Kluyveromyces lactis: one gene and its partners. The protein of the gene in region 1 purifies or fractionates together with the protein of each later gene. This does not show direct contact. Links are inferred from orthologs where the notes say so. Each region holds a gene or a part of one and is shown in the gene's direction. Other genes may lie near its edges. The genes, in order: COP1, KLLA0_D05863g and ERV41.

The links.
Region 2: the proteins of COP1 (region 1) and KLLA0_D05863g purify together in Saccharomyces cerevisiae (affinity purification with western blotting; 3 studies listed by BioGRID). This does not show direct contact. The link is inferred for Kluyveromyces lactis from reciprocal best matches to the Saccharomyces cerevisiae genes COP1 and EMP47.
Region 3: the proteins of COP1 (region 1) and ERV41 purify together in Saccharomyces cerevisiae (affinity purification with mass spectrometry; 3 studies listed by BioGRID). This does not show direct contact. The link is inferred for Kluyveromyces lactis from reciprocal best matches to the Saccharomyces cerevisiae genes COP1 and ERV41.

What each region holds. Positions count from the first base shown.
Region 1 is NC_006042.1:477,944-483,644, reverse strand, and holds COP1 (coatomer subunit alpha), read left to right. Parts: upstream 1-1,962; coding exon 1,963-5,601; downstream 5,602-5,701. Other genes in the region: CRR1 (putative glycosylase), read left to right, coding at 1-1,462. UniProt on the Saccharomyces cerevisiae protein: The coatomer is a cytosolic protein complex that binds to dilysine motifs and reversibly associates with Golgi non-clathrin-coated vesicles, which further mediate biosynthetic protein transport from the ER, via the Golgi up to the trans Golgi network.
Region 2 is NC_006040.1:500,419-507,315, forward strand, and holds KLLA0_D05863g (uncharacterized protein), read left to right. Parts: upstream 1-2,087; coding exon 2,088-3,401; downstream 3,402-6,897. Other genes in the region: GTPase-activating protein RGD2, read right to left, coding at 1-1,054; KLLA0_D05841g (SelT/SelW/SelH family protein), read left to right, coding at 1,322-1,720; SWP82 (Swp82p), read right to left, coding at 3,492-5,024; KLLA0_D05907g (putative short-chain dehydrogenase/reductase), read right to left, coding at 5,408-6,289. UniProt on the Saccharomyces cerevisiae protein: Involved in the secretion of glycoproteins and in nucleus architecture and gene silencing. Required for the endoplasmic reticulum exit of EMP46.
Region 3 is NC_006038.1:446,015-452,486, reverse strand, and holds ERV41 (Erv41p), read left to right. Parts: upstream 1-1,089; coding exon 1,090-1,120; intron 1,121-1,241; coding exon 1,242-2,236; downstream 2,237-6,472. Other genes in the region: SMA2 (Sma2p), read left to right, coding at 1-792; GMC2 (Gmc2p), read left to right, coding at 2,481-3,017; FACT complex subunit POB3, read right to left, coding at 4,688-6,355. UniProt on the Saccharomyces cerevisiae protein: Constituent of COPII-coated endoplasmic reticulum-derived transport vesicles. Required for efficient transport of a subset of secretory proteins to the Golgi. The C-terminal Ile-Leu motif is required for exit from the endoplasmic reticulum.

The sequences.
Region 1 (5,701 bases):
CTGTTGCACAATTTCAACTTTAGCACAAGAAGCTACTAGGTATTTCCCAGAAACTCCAATAGGCTGCTCTCTTGAAAATAATTGTCCTGCAGAATGGCCATGTTGCTCACAATTTGGACAATGCGGTACGGGTCCTTTTTGTGTTGGAGGTTGTAACCCAAGATTATCTCACGATCCAGGTAGTTGCTTAGGACAACCAGCATTATTACCACGAATGTCGCCTAGCTTCTGGTTGCAAAGCTCACTGGAGCAAAAACCTGCTCTAAAAAGTAGCTTTCTGCCTAGAGTACAACCCAGTATGGACGTTGCATCGAATGAAGGTGGAGAAAAGGACTTGAATAATAGAGGTATAGTTAATTTCGCTAACTTCCTAATATCACCACAAGAACGAATCATTAAGAAAATGTTAAGAGACTATCATTTCACGTACAGTGGATTTGTTAAATACGATGCACCTGGTCAATTGACTCTTGCTATGCCTAAACATACTTCGGGAAGTTTAATATCATCCACAAGATCTTTTCTATACGGTAGAGCTACCGTAAAAATGAAAACAGCTAGAGGTCGCGGAGTTGTTACTGCAGTGGTATTAATTTCAACTGTAGGTGATGAAATTGATTTTGAATTTATTGGAGGAGAATTACATCATGCTCAATCTAATTATTATCACCAAGGTGAATTAAATCACACAAGGATGGAAAAGCTAGAACTAAGTTCTGACAGTTTTGAAAATACTCATATTTACGAAGTCGATTGGGACCAAGATAGAATCAACTGGATTGTGGACGGTGTAGTAGCTAGAACATTATACAAGGAAGATACATGGAATGAGGAAAAACAAAGATACGAATATCCACAAACACCAATGAGATTGCAAGTGTCGGTGTGGCCAGGTGGAAGAGAAGATGCTGACCCTGGTACCATAATGTGGGCTGGAGGGCTCATTGATTGGGAAAACTCGCCCGATATACTTGAGAAGGGTCAATTTTATGCAACTGTGGAATCAATAGCCGTTACACCTTACGAAAACAAATTCTGGCCATCAATAGTTGATGAACTAGAAAGATTACATTTACCTATTGATGCTAATTCATTGTTAGATATTACTTACGATTACAATTATGACAAGTTTAATGAGCATACGTGGTTTGAAGATTCAGTCATTTGGAAGAAGGGCAAATTACCTTATTTATCTTCCTTGGACAAGAATGGCCTAAATCCGGGAAGACAGCAACAAAGTCTTTTGGTAGGTAAACAATTGAAGCAAGAGCAGGGAGATGGGCCGGATCAGAGTCCTTCAAACAGGTTTATTCAAGACACTAATAAACCATCGGAAAAAAATCATGAAGAACAAGATTTGCTCCTACGAAACGCTCTGCAGTCACGCGATGCTACCACAAATGGGGGTTCCAGTCACAATAACAGAAATCCTATCAAAAGATTGCTTAATATGCTACATTAATCAGTAAAGGTTGCCCAGATGTTCACATCTACACTATACATGTATAGATATATAGACCTATGTATACCACTCTCGTATATGCTATCTCTTCTAGCATTCTCTTACGCATAGAATCTGTAGAGATGCGTCTGGCACAAATTCGGGTAATTATTACCCTACCATTACGTCCTTTGCATACTCTTCGGATTCTTCCAATTTTCAAAAAGGACAACTTTTCAAATAAAACACGATCTTATTTCAAAATAGTAAGCCATATGTGTATTTTAAGTAATTTTATGAACCTTGAATGAAGCTGACTTTGGCTAATAAACAACGATCAAGGTACTTTGTCGTCTAATTGAGTTGTCAGTGAGGACTAACCATCGAAGGAAAGCTTCAATCGTAACCAATTGGTATATTGTTAACTGCAATTGTGACGTTTTCTTCCGAGTTATTCTTCTTATATTTCTCACAGTTTTTACTCAGATTTAGATCGAAGTCTTGAAAAGCTTGCTTTCATCATGAAGATGTTAACTAAGTTCGAATCAAAGTCTACCAGGGCGAAAGGTATTGCTTTTCATCCGTCTAGGCCTTGGGTTCTGGTAGCACTTTTCTCATCAACCATCCAATTATGGGATTACCGTATGGGTGTTTTGCTTCACCGTTTTGAAGATCATGAGGGTCCGGTACGTGGCATTGATTTCCATCCAACGCAACCTCTTTTCGTTTCTGCAGGTGATGATTATACTATCAAAGTATGGTCTTTAGAGAGCAACAAGTGTCTATTCACATTGGACGGCCATTTAGACTATGTTCGTACAGTATTCTTCCATCACGAATTGCCATGGATTATTTCCAGTTCCGACGATCAAACCATCAGAATCTGGAACTGGCAGAACAGAAAGGAAATAGCATGTTTAACTGGCCATAACCACTTCGTAATGTGTGCCCAATTCCATCCAGTCGAAGATTTGGTGGTTTCTGCTTCTTTGGATGAAACCGTTAGAGTTTGGGATATTTCAGGGCTAAGAAAAAGACATTCCGCACCAGGCACTCAATCATTCGAAGAACAAATGAGACAGCAACAGAACTTACTTGACGGAGGATTTGGAGATTGTGTGGTGAAGTTCATTTTAGAAGGCCACACTAGAGGAGTAAATTGGGCTTCTTTCCATCCAACTTTACCATTGATCGTTTCCGGTTCTGATGATCGTCAAGTGAAATTGTGGAGAATGAGTGCCACAAAGGCATGGGAGGTCGATACTTGTAGAGGTCATACCAACAACGTTGATTCCGTCATTTTCCATCCTCAACAGAATCTCATTATATCAGTTGGTGAGGATAAAACCGTAAGAGTATGGGACTTGGACAAGCGTACTCCAATTAAACAGTTCAAAAGAGAAAATGACAGATTCTGGTTAGTGAGAGCTCACCCAAACCTAAATCTGTTCGGTGCTGCTCATGATTCTGGTATTATGATCTTTAAGTTGGACCGTGAAAGACCACCAACTGCTATAAACCAAAATCAGTTGTTCTTTATCAACAGGGAGAAACAAGTCCAAATGTTTGATTACCACAAGAGAATCACTTCTCTACCTTATCTTTCTTTGAAAAACATCGGCAAGACCTGGAGTTCATTTAGAAGTATGTCTTATAACCCATCCCAACATTCCGTCCTTGTCAACTCCTCCGAAAAGGAAGCCAACAGGTTCAGCTTATGTGTCTTACCTAAACAACCTAGTGGAGCTGTTGAAGCTAGCAACGTCATCTCTGATGATGGTAGTTTTGCGATCTTCGTTGCTCGTAACAGATTTGTGGTGCACAATGGCAGCACTAATAGCTTGGAGGTTCGTAGTTTAGATAACAAAACCACAAAGTCAATCAAATTAACTGATACTGTTAAAGACATCACATTAGCTGCTCCTGGTACTGTTTTGATTCTATATTCTCATTCTGTGGTAATGATGGACGTCCAACAAGGTAAAATTCTTCATGAATTATCTTTAAAGAACATCAAGTATACAGTGTGGTCTCAAGATGGCCAATATGTTGCATTGATGAGTAAGCATACATTGACAATCGCAAACAGAAAACTGGAAATCGTTACATCAAACCATGAAAGTATTAGAATCAAGAGTGCAAGTTGGGATGAAACCGGTGTCCTAATTTATTCAACATTGAACCATATCAAATACTGTCTATTGAATGGTGATTCTGGTATCATTAAAACCTTAGAAAGAACATTATACATCAACAAGGTACATGGCAAATTTGTCTATGCTTTGAATCGTGAAGGGGAAGTAGAGATTTTGACAATTGATCCTACTGAATATCGTTTCAAGAAGACTTTAGTCAACAAAAATTTCCCTGAGGTATTGCGTATCATTAAAAATTCAAATTTAGTTGGTCAAAACATCATATCTTATCTTCAAAAATCAGGCTATCCTGAAATTGCGTTACAATTCGTGGAGGATCCTCAAACAAGATTTGATTTGGCTACACAATACGGTAATTTGACAGTTGCTCTTGAAGAAGCTGAGAAATTGAACAATGAACTTGTATGGGAAAGATTGGGCAAAGAAGCTTTGATCCAAGGTAACACAGATATCGCTGAATTGGTATATCAAAACACTAAGCAGTTTGATAAACTGTCTTTCCTATATCTACTTAAGGGAGACAACTCCAAACTGGCAAAAATGGAGTCTATTGCTGAACATAGATCAGATATTTCCGGCTTGATTCAAAATACCTTTTACAATAACTCAGTTCAGAAGCGTGCAAATGTCTTTTTAAATGCAGGCTCTGCTCCTTTGGCTTATGCAGTGGCAAAAGCTAACGGCGACGATGACCTTGCCACTTCCATTTTGGAATCCGAAGAAATTGATGAGCAAGACATTTCCCTACCAACTGAACTCAACTCCTCCACAAATGTAAAAACCCCTGTCATTTCTGCTCCTTTGAAAAACTGGCCGTTAAAGCAAGCTGAAGTCTCATTCTTTGAAAAAGCCCTTTTGGGCCAAATCGAAGATCTTGAAATTTCTGATGATAAGGAAGAAAATGTTTCAGATACTACCCAAAATGTTGGCCAGTTTGATTTAGGAGAACAAGATAACCTAGACTTTGATGATGAAGCTGTTGGAGAGGAAGAAGATGCTTGGGACCTAGACCAAAATGATTTGGAATTAGACGACGAGTTAGAGATCGAAGAATCCGAAGTGACTGAAGAACAAGTAGATGAATCAGAATTGCCAATGTGGGTTAAAAATTCAAAGCTTCCAGCAGTTCTAGTAGCCGCTGGAGCCTTTGATGCTGCTGCCCAAGCCTTGAATAAGCAGGTAGCCGTTGTAAACTTCGAACCCCTCAGGACACCATTCATTGATATATACGATGGTGCAAGAACTTATATGAGTGCTACACCAAATGAATTACCTTCAATTATTGGATACATCCGAGCTGATGCCGATGAGGAGGACAAATCTAAAATACTACCATTTGTTCCTGGCGTTTCTGTAGTCACCACGAAGTTGAACGAGGGATTCAAAGCATTTAAGGCTAACAAATTGGAAGTTGCTATCGAGCACTTCCGAGACGTTATCTATGCCATAGCTTTGTTAGCAGTTACTGACAAAGAAGATGAAACAACAGCACAAACTGCACTTGCAACTGCTCGTGAATACATCTTAGGTCTTTCTATGGAGCTAGAACGTCGTGCTCTACCTGCCAATGACGTTAAGCGTAACCTGGAATTGGCAGCATACTTCAGCAGGACAAAACTTCTACCTGTGCATAGAAGTAATGCTTTGAATGTTGCTATGACCCAATCATTCAAAAACAAGAACTTTGTATTAGCATCCTATTTCGCAGGCGAATTCCTCAAGATTATTACATCAGGTGCCCGTGCTGACCAAGCTCAGAAAATCAAAGCAAAGGCTGATTCGATGGCATATGATGCCATCGAGATTGATTTCGATCCTTATGCTGAATTTGATATCTGTGCAGCTTCACATACCCCAATTTACAAAGGATCGCCATCTGTAGCAGATCCTTTAACTGGGGCGAACTATCACGTTTCTGAGAAGGGAAAGATTGATCGCATTGCTTTAATATCCAAGATCGGTGCCCCAGCTTCAGGATTGCGGATCCAACTTTCTGTAAACTAAGAATATTTACTTATCAAGAAAAATATTATATATCATAATTGAAATAATCAGCAATGACCTTGTAGGAACCGTTGTAGAGACTAATTTGAATCTTTGAATG
Region 2 (6,897 bases), on another chromosome or scaffold:
AATCAGAAACCTCCACGTCTCTTACAAATTTGTATAACTTCTTTTCGTTATCGGAGAAGTTTGGTTGATGAATTGATGAGTAAGTAGCCTCATTCCCAGCGGTCATCTTTTGGAAATAGTTCACTATCCCACTTTCAGCTTCATTGAGGGAATCATCGTTTGCATCTGTGGTGGATAGGTTGCAAAACTTATAAGCGTACGGTTTCCACTGATATTGAAATTTTTTCGAGTTGGCGAAAGTTGTACCAACACCGTTGCAGTATTTGATAAAACCATGGTTCAATAAATCCTGACCAAACAACTCTGCATGATCAATGTCCTTTAGAGACATGTGTGTCATCAAAAAAGCAACGATTTCACTACCACTGTTGGTGTTTTCGATGGTAAAAGAGATGAAGGGAACTTTATATTGATGCTTTGGTAGCTTTGTCAATAAAAGTTTCAAAGTTTCCTTTATACCCTTATAATCGTAGTCAATACCACCAAACACACCAAATTTCTGGTATTCCTTTTCTTGCAACACCTTGGCTTCATGTTCTCTCTGCAGATCTAGAGATTTCATAGCGTCAGATAATTCATCTTCATTGAATGTAGATCTTTTAAAATCCTCGAGTAGTCTACATTTGTTCAAATAGGTCTGCTCCAGTTTCTCAACAAACCCTTTTGACTTAAGGAATGATCTCGCATTTGTTTTCAATATCTTTTCTGAATATTGTACTCGTTGTTTATGTTCTTGTCTCCACTTTGTAAAGGGACCCAAAACGGTCATCTCAATGGTAGAGGCGATCTTCAAATGATGGTTACCTTCCTCCACCATTTGCCCAATCATACCCGCTAGTGACGAGTTACATGTAGAGTCTAATGCATCGAACTCATCAACACCTTTGTTGATATTGCACAAGTGTCTTCCAAACTCAACTTCATACTGCATTCTTGAAGCGAAAAGCTGGATAAAAAGGTCATTTTGATCACAACCTTTATGCAACTTCCCAAAGAGCGCTTCAATCCCACTTATAAAATCCGGAGACCAAAAGCTCTCCGCAAATGATGGCATTGGTATCGGTCGAGGTTGCTGGATGGACCTTTCATCTTCTTTTACTATGTTGTCATCTACGTTTTTAAAGGTTTCATAAGTCTTGAATTTAACGGTTTAAAATTAGATTATCGATTCCTCAAACTGGAACTGTTAAATTTGGAGAATGTAAATACATACACTCATACATAGCACCAAAATTTGAAGTAACATCATATGTTGAGGCAATTTCATTGACAGATAGTTGGTGAATAACTCAAGGTATCTATTTTATTACTTTTCAAACAGATGCCATTCCCCAAAGTTTCAATTGTATTCTGCACTAAATGTAAATGGAATCTCCGGAGTGCATGGTACGTCCAAGAACTTCTACAAACGTTTGGATCTGAATTGAAAGAGATTTCATTGATTCCAGGCGAACCAGGCGAATTCAAAGTTCTTGGATACCAAACGGAAGGTTCTCAACCGATAGTAATTTGGGACAGAGTCGTGGACGATGGATTTCCTGACAGTAAATATTTAAAACAACGGGTAAAGGCTCTTATTTTCAATGATGAAGTGGCCATAGGGGCCCATATCGACAGGAAATCAAAATCTTCCTCGGCTAAAGAAACTCTAGTATCGGAAAAGATCAATCAATGCTCCACAGATGATCAAAATACGTCATGCAAAGATTGTGAGACATAAATAAATGTTACAAGAACTGAAAATCTACCTTTATAACGAATAACTGTAATTCATAACTATATAAATAACTAATACAGGATCACAAGTACATTTTTAGGCGGCTTGAAACGTTGCAGTGGTAAGCTCATGTAATTCTTTGTGTTAATACTAAGTCTTGTCATATTCCTTTTCTTGATATGAAACCCGAATTTTGAATCGAATCAATTATGGAAGAAAATAAGTTTATTGACGTTCTTTTAACAAACGAGAAGGAACCTACAACCCTTGTTGAACAAGTATTGTGAATTGGATATTGCTCTTGTTATTCTATTGTAGAGTGAATTCAATCTTAATAGTGTAGGGCAGCACACATCGTTTGAAACAAAAGATGTTTGTCCACTGGTTGGCTGTATTGTTCGCATACATTACCGTTGCAAATGCAGCTGCAATTGCAGAAGCGGAATTACATGAAAGTGCCGTGTCTGATAACGATATACTAGATGCCAGTCATTCTTTACCTGATTTGGTTCACATGAATGCCGTGCCTTCAGATTGGAAGACCAGCGGAGGTTTGGTTTTGGAGGAAGGGAGACTTCGTTTAACACCAAGTGCATCCAGTCAAAGTTCGATTTGGCACAAGACTGATTATCAAATTAAGGACTCCTTCACCATAGAATGGACTTTCAGAAGTGTTGATTTTATAGGGAAATCTGAAGGTGGGTTGTCCTTCTGGTTAGTGGAGGGTAAAAGTGCAGGAGGAACTTCTTTATTCGGTGGACCAGAGGCGTTTGATGGGCTTCAAATTTTGGTGGATTCCAATGGGCCCGTGGGTAGTTCTGTTCGTGGTATCTTGAACGACGGGTCTAAGAAATTGACTGAAAAAAATGTGTACGATCATTCTTTTGCCTATTGTTTGTTAGCCTATCAGGATACTACTATTCCAACCACTATCAGATTGAGTTATGATAGGAAGAACAATAACCTATTGAAACTTCAAGTCGATAATAGGGTGTGTTTCCAAACCAGACAAATTCAATTCCCACAAAATGCGAAAATGAAGATGGGTATCACTGCAAAGAATGATGCTAACAAGGAATCATTTGAAGTCCTGAAGGTACATACTCATAACGGTCTTACTAAAGAAGTTACAATTCCAAATGTTAACCCTATGGAACAGCCTAGATTGGTAACAAAGATTATCAACAAGGATACTGGTAAAGAAGACGTTGTAGAAACAGATTTCATGAAAATGAAGGGTTTAGCAAATAAGGTGGACAACTACGAACTTTACAAGAAATTGGATAAGATTGAGGGCAAGATATTAGCCAATGACATCAGCGTGATAAACGGTAAATTAATTGGCATCTTGGAAAATCAAGCAGCGCACTTGAGAAAGCTAGAATATCTATCAACTACTTTAGAAGTTATTGTGGCTTCAATGGGTAAAGAAGGTGAAGTAAATACAGAATCCTTCAAGGACCTCTTTGTTATGAATGATAAGTTGGAGCAATTACTTCAGGATCAAGCAAAGATTAGAGAGGCCACCAAACAAAGCATGGAAAATGCTGGAAATGGCGTTTCAGTTGACGAAATCGTCAAGAGACTCTTAATGTGGATTTTGCCTCTAATACTAATCGTTTTAGTTATGGCATACTACACTTTCAAAATTCGTCAAGACATTGTTAAAGTTAAATTGTTATAATGAATTATCCTCTATATATATCTGCAGCTTTATTGCATAGCTTTCTACTAGCAGTATTTAGTTCGATATAGATGAAGTTGCATTATTATTCTAAGGTTTTTCAACATAAGGTGGCCTAAACCCTGACACATTGGAGTATCCCAAAAAATTTGGATTCGGTACTCGCTTAACGGTACGCTTTTCATCTACATTCTTCGTTTCGTTTGGCACAATGCTCACATCAACATGGTTCAAAACTTGCTGTAGATATTGCTCTTTGTAATACGAAAGTTGATCCTCCGTAAGGCCAACAGGTGCACCGGCCTTATACTGCCAAAATTTAGTCCAACGGGTGTTTCTTAACTTTCGGACATGGCCAAGAGCTGTATTCAAATGAACAACATCATGGGATCGTTCTAAATCTTTTATTTGGTTTGGCGTCAATAGTTTTAACCTTGCAGGAAGTCTCGCCTTATTATATATCGGTAACCCTCCAGCACTGAAAGTTGTAGGTAACTCATCATTTGTTGTAACTGGTAGCTGCGTAAATTTCCATCCAGGAATTTGAGCCAACACATCTGTCTCCTCCGGGGGAACATAGTTAGCTTTACGTCCTCTACCAAAGTTATGAGATTCTACCGGGTGGGTGTGCGTTCCAATCGGGGAATCTAGAACATTGTGTTGTTGAGCAGCGGCGAAGGAATTCTTATAGTGGTATTTTGGAATTTTGTAAATAGTACTCAACTCGATTGCTCCATGTATAGTTTGACCCGATATGATTGCAGTTTGCTCACCATGAGCAATATTACTTAAGAACTCTTTACGTGCTTCTAAAGGCGGTAGTTCCGTAATGGTTGAAAACGGGTCTTCGAATTGCGGTTGTGATGTGGACATAACGCCCGCTTGTGCTTGCTTCGATTCAGGAAGCTCAGGTGGACCTAAAGAATGTGCTGTTCTAGTCCTTGGATCGATCGAACATACCATGTCGAGAAGTTTTTGAGAGAGTGCGTATACTCTGTGCTGCGCTTGGAAGCCCTGTTCTTTGGATAGTTGTTCCCAGTAATCATCTATCACTCTTGATCCGGATGCTAGTATAGCAGCTCCAAAGACAAGAAAAGCAGATCTAGCTGTGATATATGTTGCAGCAGTAGCACCTTCAGGTAAAAGTTTATACTGGGTCAAAAATTCGATAATATCATGTTTTGCATTAATTGGGTAAAGGTCTGGATGCTGAGCCAAAAACTCTTGTTGTTCCACATCTAGATTCAAGACTCTAATCAAATCCCGTACTAAGACGTACAAATTTTCCGAATTATTGTTTTCCGCACATGGATAAGTGAAAGTAGGAAACAAGTAATGCCTTTCTCCATGTAACCGTCCTTGTTTATCAACCTTCGTTTCCCCATTTTGATCACCCTTTCCCAAAACATAAGAGTCATTGTTGTCTGATAACCTTTCCTTAATGGTGAACGAAGGTAGTACAAGTTGCTTTGTTGGTGGCTTGTCAAGTCTGCCGGAGAGTAATTCAGGGTTATTGAGTATTGATAATGTGGTTTTCAAAATAAAAAGCTCATGGTTCTTTATGACATATTCTGGCACCGGATTCACCTGAGCAGTGACAGATGAGTTAGTACTGGAGTCCATTTTTCCAGCATGTGAAGATAAACAAATAAACGTATCCTGTTCAACAGCCAGAAAGGTCTCGTGGTGTTCCAAATATAATTAGGATGGATGAAAGTGTCGCAGCTTATACCGTCTATTGAATTCTTTCACGATGTACTTTGAAAGATATGCATATGTTTACGTTTATGTTAATGACAGGCATTCGATAGTTAGATTACATGTTGAAAAGACCCAATTTCAAAACAATGGAAAATACATAAAGATACTGATCACGTGATGACCAGCAACTGACACAGCAAATACCCGACAGTTAGGTTACATACAAACTAACGTATCTAAAATATAGGAATAAAACGGGATTCTTAGATAATAGTGCCGGTGGCTTCAGATGTTGGTAGTGTCATTCATTGAGCCAACTTAAGATTTGCAAGAAGTTCTTCTGAGGCCTTGATATAATTCCTGGCGTAATCATCAGTAAAATCTTTTGATGGAAGGATCGGGTTAGCATTCTTGTCAAACATGGCGCCTGAATGAGTTTCCAATTCTGGGGCAACTAGCAAGGGGCCTAACTTTTCAGCGTATTGCTCTGCAGTCTGATTTGTCATACCTATGAACCATTCTACCACTCTTGACTTCCAAGTGTCTTTACCAAGGTAATTATCTCTAATATTTGTCCTGATGAGCCCCGGATTCAACCCATAAAAATTGACAGTAGCAAACCTATTCTTAAAGTCCAAAACTAGAGCTTCATTACCGGCTACTGTTTTCATATGTGTGGAAATAGCTCCGTAAGATTCTTCTGAATTCAAATCTCTATAATCTCCCATATAGTTATCACCGGGGAAACCCATTACAAATACGCGAGGTTTTTTCTCACCATGTTCCTTCAATCTGGGTACCAAATGATTCATCATCACTAGTCGGCTGATATAACTGACGGCCAAATCTTCTTCTAGACCTTCGCTAGTCTCACGTCTCGCTGGAGGAGCCAAAACTCCCGTAGTGAAGATAAGAAGATCCAACTTTTCAGCAGGTAACAATTCCGCAACTCTGGATGCCTCTGACACCAAACCTAGGTCAGCCTGGATAAATTCAATACCTTCAACATTTTCGTCTCTGAACGTTCTACCAACAACGATGACTTTAGCACCCTTTTGTGCCAACACTCTTGCCAACTCACGGCCAATACCGCCCGTTCCTCCTACGATAGCAACATATTTATTATCTAAATTGAGTTCAATCAATTTTTGAGCCTTCGTATATACAATATCAGGATTGGTCTTCATGGTTGTTTGATGTAAGATTAGTCCGATGCAATTACAATAGATAGTTCCCCCTTGACTCTTGGTAATATTACTGTGCAAGCTGCATATCTGCAATCAACGTTGCACTAAGCTACCTTAAATAGTATCTATATATGATTTCTTCGACTTATTAGTTACGGCGGTGATCTTTTATCGACAATATGTCTGACTAATGACATTGCGATTCGTCCTGAAGATTGTGAACTGGTTTGGCTGTCAACCATCACCCCTATGAGGGGCCGGCCCCTTGAAAAACCGCCTCCATCACGTGACTGAAAGATCTCATGTAAAACTATCTTGAACCACCAATCACCGCGTATTGCATTGGTCCTACGGAGAGTTTGCTTCAAAGTAATCTCGTTCAAACTTCGTTTCCCAGATGACTGTATTCATCAACATTTGACAACACTGCGCAGCGACTGAATGTCTTGCTTGGTTAACCTGGCTCTACAGTCAGCGACAATTCCATTTTCAACAGTATGCTCAGAAGGGTGCACACAAATTGCACTGAAACAAAGTAAAGTTAGAAACATAAATAAAAAATATAAATATCAAATATAAATACGGTAAAAAGAAGGGGCGATTAATTT
Region 3 (6,472 bases), on another chromosome or scaffold:
GAGAAGCTAAACCATTACTGTATAGATAACACAAACGGGCTAAATATAATATCCGTTCTAATTCGTGATTTGGGCTTTCAATTCGGGGTTTTATCGGAGACTAATGTAAAGATAACTGGTGATTCGTTCTGGATCATATACCAGACGTTAATCAATTCCTTCAATAAATTTTTAGAGGATGATAAAAGAGGAAACACTTTATTGAAAATGATCACCCCAAATGATCCGAACGAAATGGAACAATGGAAAACAAGACTATGGTTGATAAACATTTATGATGCTGTCAATGTTGTGTTGAAATGGACAGTAGTAGCTAACTGCATCTTAGCATCTCTATGTTTGATGCTTCTTCTTTTCTGGATGTGGATGCAAATCGAACACAAAAAGACACAAAGTCCAATCAAGCAATTGAATTGGAATATCAATTCAATCTGCTCAATAACTCGGTGTCTGAGTATTTGCAATGCAACAATTACTTTCATCTATATTCTTCACATATTGCTGCTTACCTTCATGATTAATTGTTTCCGTTACAAAAGACTACAAATTATCCACGCGTCTCTCGGAACGGGTGCATGGTTCCACATCGCGAGGTTCTTTGTGGAGCTAATATTTGCGGTGCTATGTTTCAAATGGATGACACCACACTCAGCCATGTCTGCATCAGTAATGAGCGAAACACAATCAACAGCCGTAGAAGATGAAGAAGAAAAAGATACTGAGGATAATTACAGCGCGCTAAATCCTGCTAGTGGGACTACTGCAGTCGATGGATTCCTGCTCACTGTGTAGATATGAACACTAAATATAGTCTTTTATAAACCGTCCATATATCAAGAGCTTTTCATAGGCCTTAGCGCCTACAAATCTACCGCCCTCATAGCTTCCTACTTAATCCCAAAACGATCGGCGTGTTCTCAGTATCGGAAAGTTTCCACTTCACTATCCAATATGAAATTTCGAAATTTCATGGTGAAATCTAATAGTGGAACATTTAAGTTAAGTAACTGAATTGAATGTTAAAGATGCATAAAAAACATTCAGTGTCTGTACCAGCTAACGGGCAACGGTCAAAAATTATTCTCAGCAATGGCAGGTCTTAGGACATTTGATGCGTTCCGTAAGTTCTTTTTTCTCCTATTTATAGAGGCCCCATGTTTGAAATAAAAAGGGCCTTCTCAAATTATATGAGTATACTAACATGCATACCAAACCTATGCGTTGCATTTCTTTATCACCAGCTAAAACCGATGAACAGCATGTGAAGACTTCATCCAAGGGTGGCCTTAGCTCCATTTTGACATATTTGTTTCTCTTATTCATCGCATGGTCCGAATTTGGTAGCTTTTTTGGAGGTTACATTGATCAGCAATATGTCGTGGACGACCAAATCAAGGAAACCGTTACTATTAACTTGGATCTCTACGTGAATATGGCATGTAAAAACATTAGAATTAATGCTAGAGATATTACTGGCGACCGTGGACTCATATCAGAGAACATTCAAATGGAAGGAATGCCATTTTACATCCCTGTGGGCACAAGAGTAAATGAGATGAACAATATTGTTTCACCGGACCTCGACGAAATACTTGGCGAAGCGATCCCAGCCCAGTTCAGGGAGGCTATTGATACGTCTGAGTTAACTGGAAGAGATGATTTTAATGGGTGTCACATATTTGGTTCAGTTCCTGTCAATAAAGTGAAAGGTGAATTACATATCACCGCTCACGGTTGGGGTTACCGGTCTGCCTCTGCCATTCCAAAGGACCAAATAAATTTCAATCATGTAATAAACGAACTTTCCTTCGGTGACTTTTATCCTTACATTGACAATCCTTTAGATAACACCGCCAAATTTTCGGATGAGAAGATCAAAGCATATTACTACTTTACCTCGATAGTACCAACACTTTACAAAAAAATGGGTGCCGAAGTAGATACCAATCAATATGCTTTGAGTGAAACAGAGTACGGAGAATCTAGTAAAGCTACCGGGGTTCCTGGTATCTTCATTAGGTATCAATTCGAACCCATGAAGATAATCATCAGTGATATGCGTATTGGATTCTTCCAGTTTATTATCAGACTCGTTGCAATCCTGTCATTCATCGTTTACACGGCATCTTGGATTTTCAGACTTGTAGACAAGTCACTAGTCCTAGCTCTTGGTCCTAAGTGGTCTCTTCACTATTCAAAAGATCAAAGTCCATCTCATGGGCTTTTAGATGAATAATTTATCTAAAAAGACTGATTACCAAAGAACTTTCAACTGTTATAAACCAGTTGGATAACGTAGCATAAATAGATGGTATGAAGGCATATTAAAGTGGTTCATTTTCAATTGGTTCAAATCTCTCTTTGGTTATAATTACGTACCTGTCGATAAATGCAAAATAGAAAAACAGTAACTTTTAATTATGTGCTTCACTCATGTGACTTCGACTTGATTTCATAAAACAACGATTATCAAGAGACCAATGCCTAACAACTTATCATCCCTTTCAGACACTGCTAACTATATCGACAAAGCTTCAAATGTTGATCCAAAAACAGCATCCCCTTGTTCCACGAATGCTCTCCCTTTAGACCTTCACAAATTAGCCGCCGAATGGCAGAGTGATAAGAAGAAAGAGGAGGTTCAAAGGCAAGTGTTGCAGAATGAATTCTTGAAAAGTGTTAAGGAAATCAGTAAGAGTCTGGTGAAGAATCAAAATGATAAGAGTCCTATATCACAATTAAATTGGGATCAGATGTACGACGTTTCTGCAGAATTAATGGATCAATACAGTAAGGAGATGGAACAGATCTTAGCTGAACTTGATGAGGTATATAAGAAGCATTTCATGTGGCAAGAGGCGGCATTTACTATTGATTCACATAGAGGTGCCACGAGAATAGCCAATGCTGAAATGTGGATGAAATCTAAAGAAGCATACTTACAATACACAAGAAAAGAACTCGATACTTCGGCAAAAGTCATTAAAACCACCATAGAAGATCTTTCCAAGAGATGAAAGTCATTATTTTGCTACCCTTTGTTGTCTGTCCCAACGCATTCGATCAATAATCATCAGCGCCAGGCATACCTTCAAAAATCTGACCATACATTCGGAATCTCGATCCACAAAATGAGATTACGAATCATCCGGGTTCAAGGCAATAACACAGAAGAAACGAAACGGCATCATGCAGACATAACAACTCATCTTGTTACATCCTTCCAATTTTTATACGATTGTTTCATATTTCGGACATTACTGCATATTCAAGTCCTTTTCCGGCAGGACTAATTCCAACATTTGTTTCGCTAAATACGCATCTACTTCAAATTCCATTGTTCTTCAGCAGAATTTCATTATTTCGAGCCGCTTTTTTGTTCTAGAGGCACAGTTTCATCTGCATATTCTTCCAAAAATGCTACCGTTATCGCCTTTGGTATTCCACATTGGTTGTGTTTGCCGTGCCATGCGTGCAAACAATTAGAACAAAACACTATATCATACGCCTTACAGCGTACAATGTTTCATCCAACGTATCATTAACACACCGAGCATCTCACCTAGAATATATATCACATGAATAAGGATTGTACTGGTATATTTCAACAAGGCACCTGGCTTGTGCAACGTTCCGTAGCTAATAATGTCAGCATCAGTTAATATAATCCTTCGAAGAAACCGTAGGGAAGAGCGGGAGCAAACAATGCATCTTCCAAACTATCAAATTTATCAAAAGCACTAAGGTCGATAGGATTATATGAGCATTCAGGACATCATACATTTTCAATTCTTTCCTCATCAATCATAGTATGATAAAATTCCTTCAGGCTTTCTCCACACAACAAGGCTTAGTACAGGGAAGTTTTACCATTTTAGAACCTTTTCTCTATTCAATACAAATGCAACAGTTGAAGTTCGGTCATTTCATACAACGAGATCCCTGCTCACCTTTGATGTTCAGAGAAGTATCTCACTGGTTAGCATCATGACTGGTATAGATGTTTTCTTCGCTGGTCAAAGTCGAAAGAGCAGCATGTGACAACTATCAGGAATAATTTAAACCAATGGAATTTTGTCTTCAACACACGTTTTACCAAACTCGCTTGCCATGTATTTATCTATATTTGTCATGTCATCCTGAGTCATTCATGCTGAGTTCAAAGTCAATTCCGACCCTTCATTGTCGTTTAGCTATGAATCTTTTCTTATAGTGAAAAAGAAACTATTCCCGGACAATTCGTCAACTCCAGGAATCTCTATGATATATTCTATAGTTAAGGTACCGTCTGTAGCTATCATACTAATATCTAATATACCTCGAATGTATGAAGCGAGTTATCTTGGATCAAAATTTCTTTGTGCATTCATTTCATCATTCTAGTTCTTGATTTAAGGATCTTTCACCAGAAGTCATAGAATAACTCTTACAGAACCATTAAATGATTGAAGCATGAAAAAAGCAGTCGATACTTTTACGGGCTTAGCAAAATTATCCTTCTCTCAACCCTTTGAAGTTTAGTTCTCTGGATGGGACCCTTATTCTTTTGTCAAGCCATTTAGATGTACTAAAAATTAAAGAACTAGTCAATCAAACAAAAGAAAGACACATTATTCGACAAATACCGCGAGGAGTGTATATAGTTTTTTATTTATTTATTTGTACTAATACATGATATATGAGTTTTTCATTCCAACTTGGCTTTCTTGGAAGGTCTTTCAGACTTTGAGGTTTCACCTTCTGAATCGGAGGCGGATGCTTCTGAATCAAATTCTTCAGCGACATCGTCATCTTCGTCGGACGCATGGAAATCTTCATCTACAGATTCTTCATCCTCACCTGCAGAACCCATGTTAATATCTACATCATCATCATCGCTGTCTGAGCCGAAGGCAGTCTGCAGTCTCTGTTCTGCTTCCTTATCTTCGTTCTTTACCCTCAAGTTTTTGGACCTCAAGAATGTCTCTAGAAGTTGTTGTTCCTCTTTAGAAATATTAGCAAAAGTAGTAGTACCTCTATTGGCACGCATAACAACTTCCAAATCGAATGTTCTGGCTGATGTAGATGTCTGACCAGCTCTTGAAATATTGACCGCAGCAATATCTTGGAAGGGTATATATAGGGTTGGTTTCGTCAAGAACAAAAACGCATTGTCCAATGGGTATAAGTGGCCTTCATTGACTTTGTATGAACAGGATACCGCGCATTGGTCATACTTAGACTTGTATTCACCAGGAACAATGACTCTTCTTCCTGTCAAACCCTTTAAGACATGACTTAGTACAATGTGAGTTTTAGCATCGTATTGTTTCTTTAGTTTATCCTTGTAAAGCTTTTCGAACTCATCATCTTCCACATTTAGTTGGACTTCTGTTTCCTCGTCCTTCTGGAATTGTAACACCAAGAATGGGTAGGATGTCTGACCTTGACGGATTGGTGGATCAATCGATAAAACCATCAAGTAATGGATGTCGTCAGCTTTTGGCAAAGAGAAGATTCTGTTTATTTGACGATGTTGTAACTTGTACTCATAAGTCTTACCTCTAAGTCTGATAGAGTTTTTGTAGATATCAATGTCGTAACGGCCTCTTGGCGTAGTGAAGAACAGATCCTGGAAAGAAATGATGGCATCACCAGAAATTTCACCGATATCTGCCTTAGATCTCAATTCTTCGTAGAAATATTCTGCTAAAGTCTTCTCTTCTTGAACGTCTGGTTCTTCACTACCCTCTTCCGTCTTAACCTCCGACTTAACACCGTCTTCTGCTTCTGCTTCGTCCTTTACCATGATTTGATCTTGATCTTCATTTTCTTCAACTGTGCCTGGAACATATAACCTCATTTCAACAAGTTCATCACCTGCAGGATTATATGCCTCATTTTGGGTGTCAAATTCTAATGCAATCTCATTTTTTGCTGTTAAATTAGTGTTATTGATGTGCGTGTAAGGGATTTCAAAAGTTGGCTTACCGTTCAATGAAAAAACCATTTCGTTTCTAGCTAAGTCCAATTTACCCCAATTCCAACCACGTAAAGAATGTTCCCTGTGCTCTAATTGCATGTTGAATCTACGTTGGAAGTCATTCTTCAATAGGTTGAAATCCTCTTGTTGGAACCCATCCATTTGAATCAATCCCTTATTCTTAGTACTAATTTTCAATTCGTAGCCTCTACATCCTCTACTCCATTGAACGGAAGAAACCTCATCTGCAGCCAATAGCAAAGGTTCATTATTTTGAGTAGAGGCTGACCCACCTGTAGCGGATGCCTTCCAACCAAGACCTCCTTCAGCTAGACGGAAACGTCCACCGAGCTTGGATTGGTTGTAATAAATTCTATCGAAATCTGTACTCATTCTCCACTATCCCAATATAAGAAATAAAAAGTAGGTATCCAAGACGAAGATCACTAGATTTCAGTAATACTGACCTGTCTAACGTAAACTATGGGCTAACAACTCTGCCTACCGTTA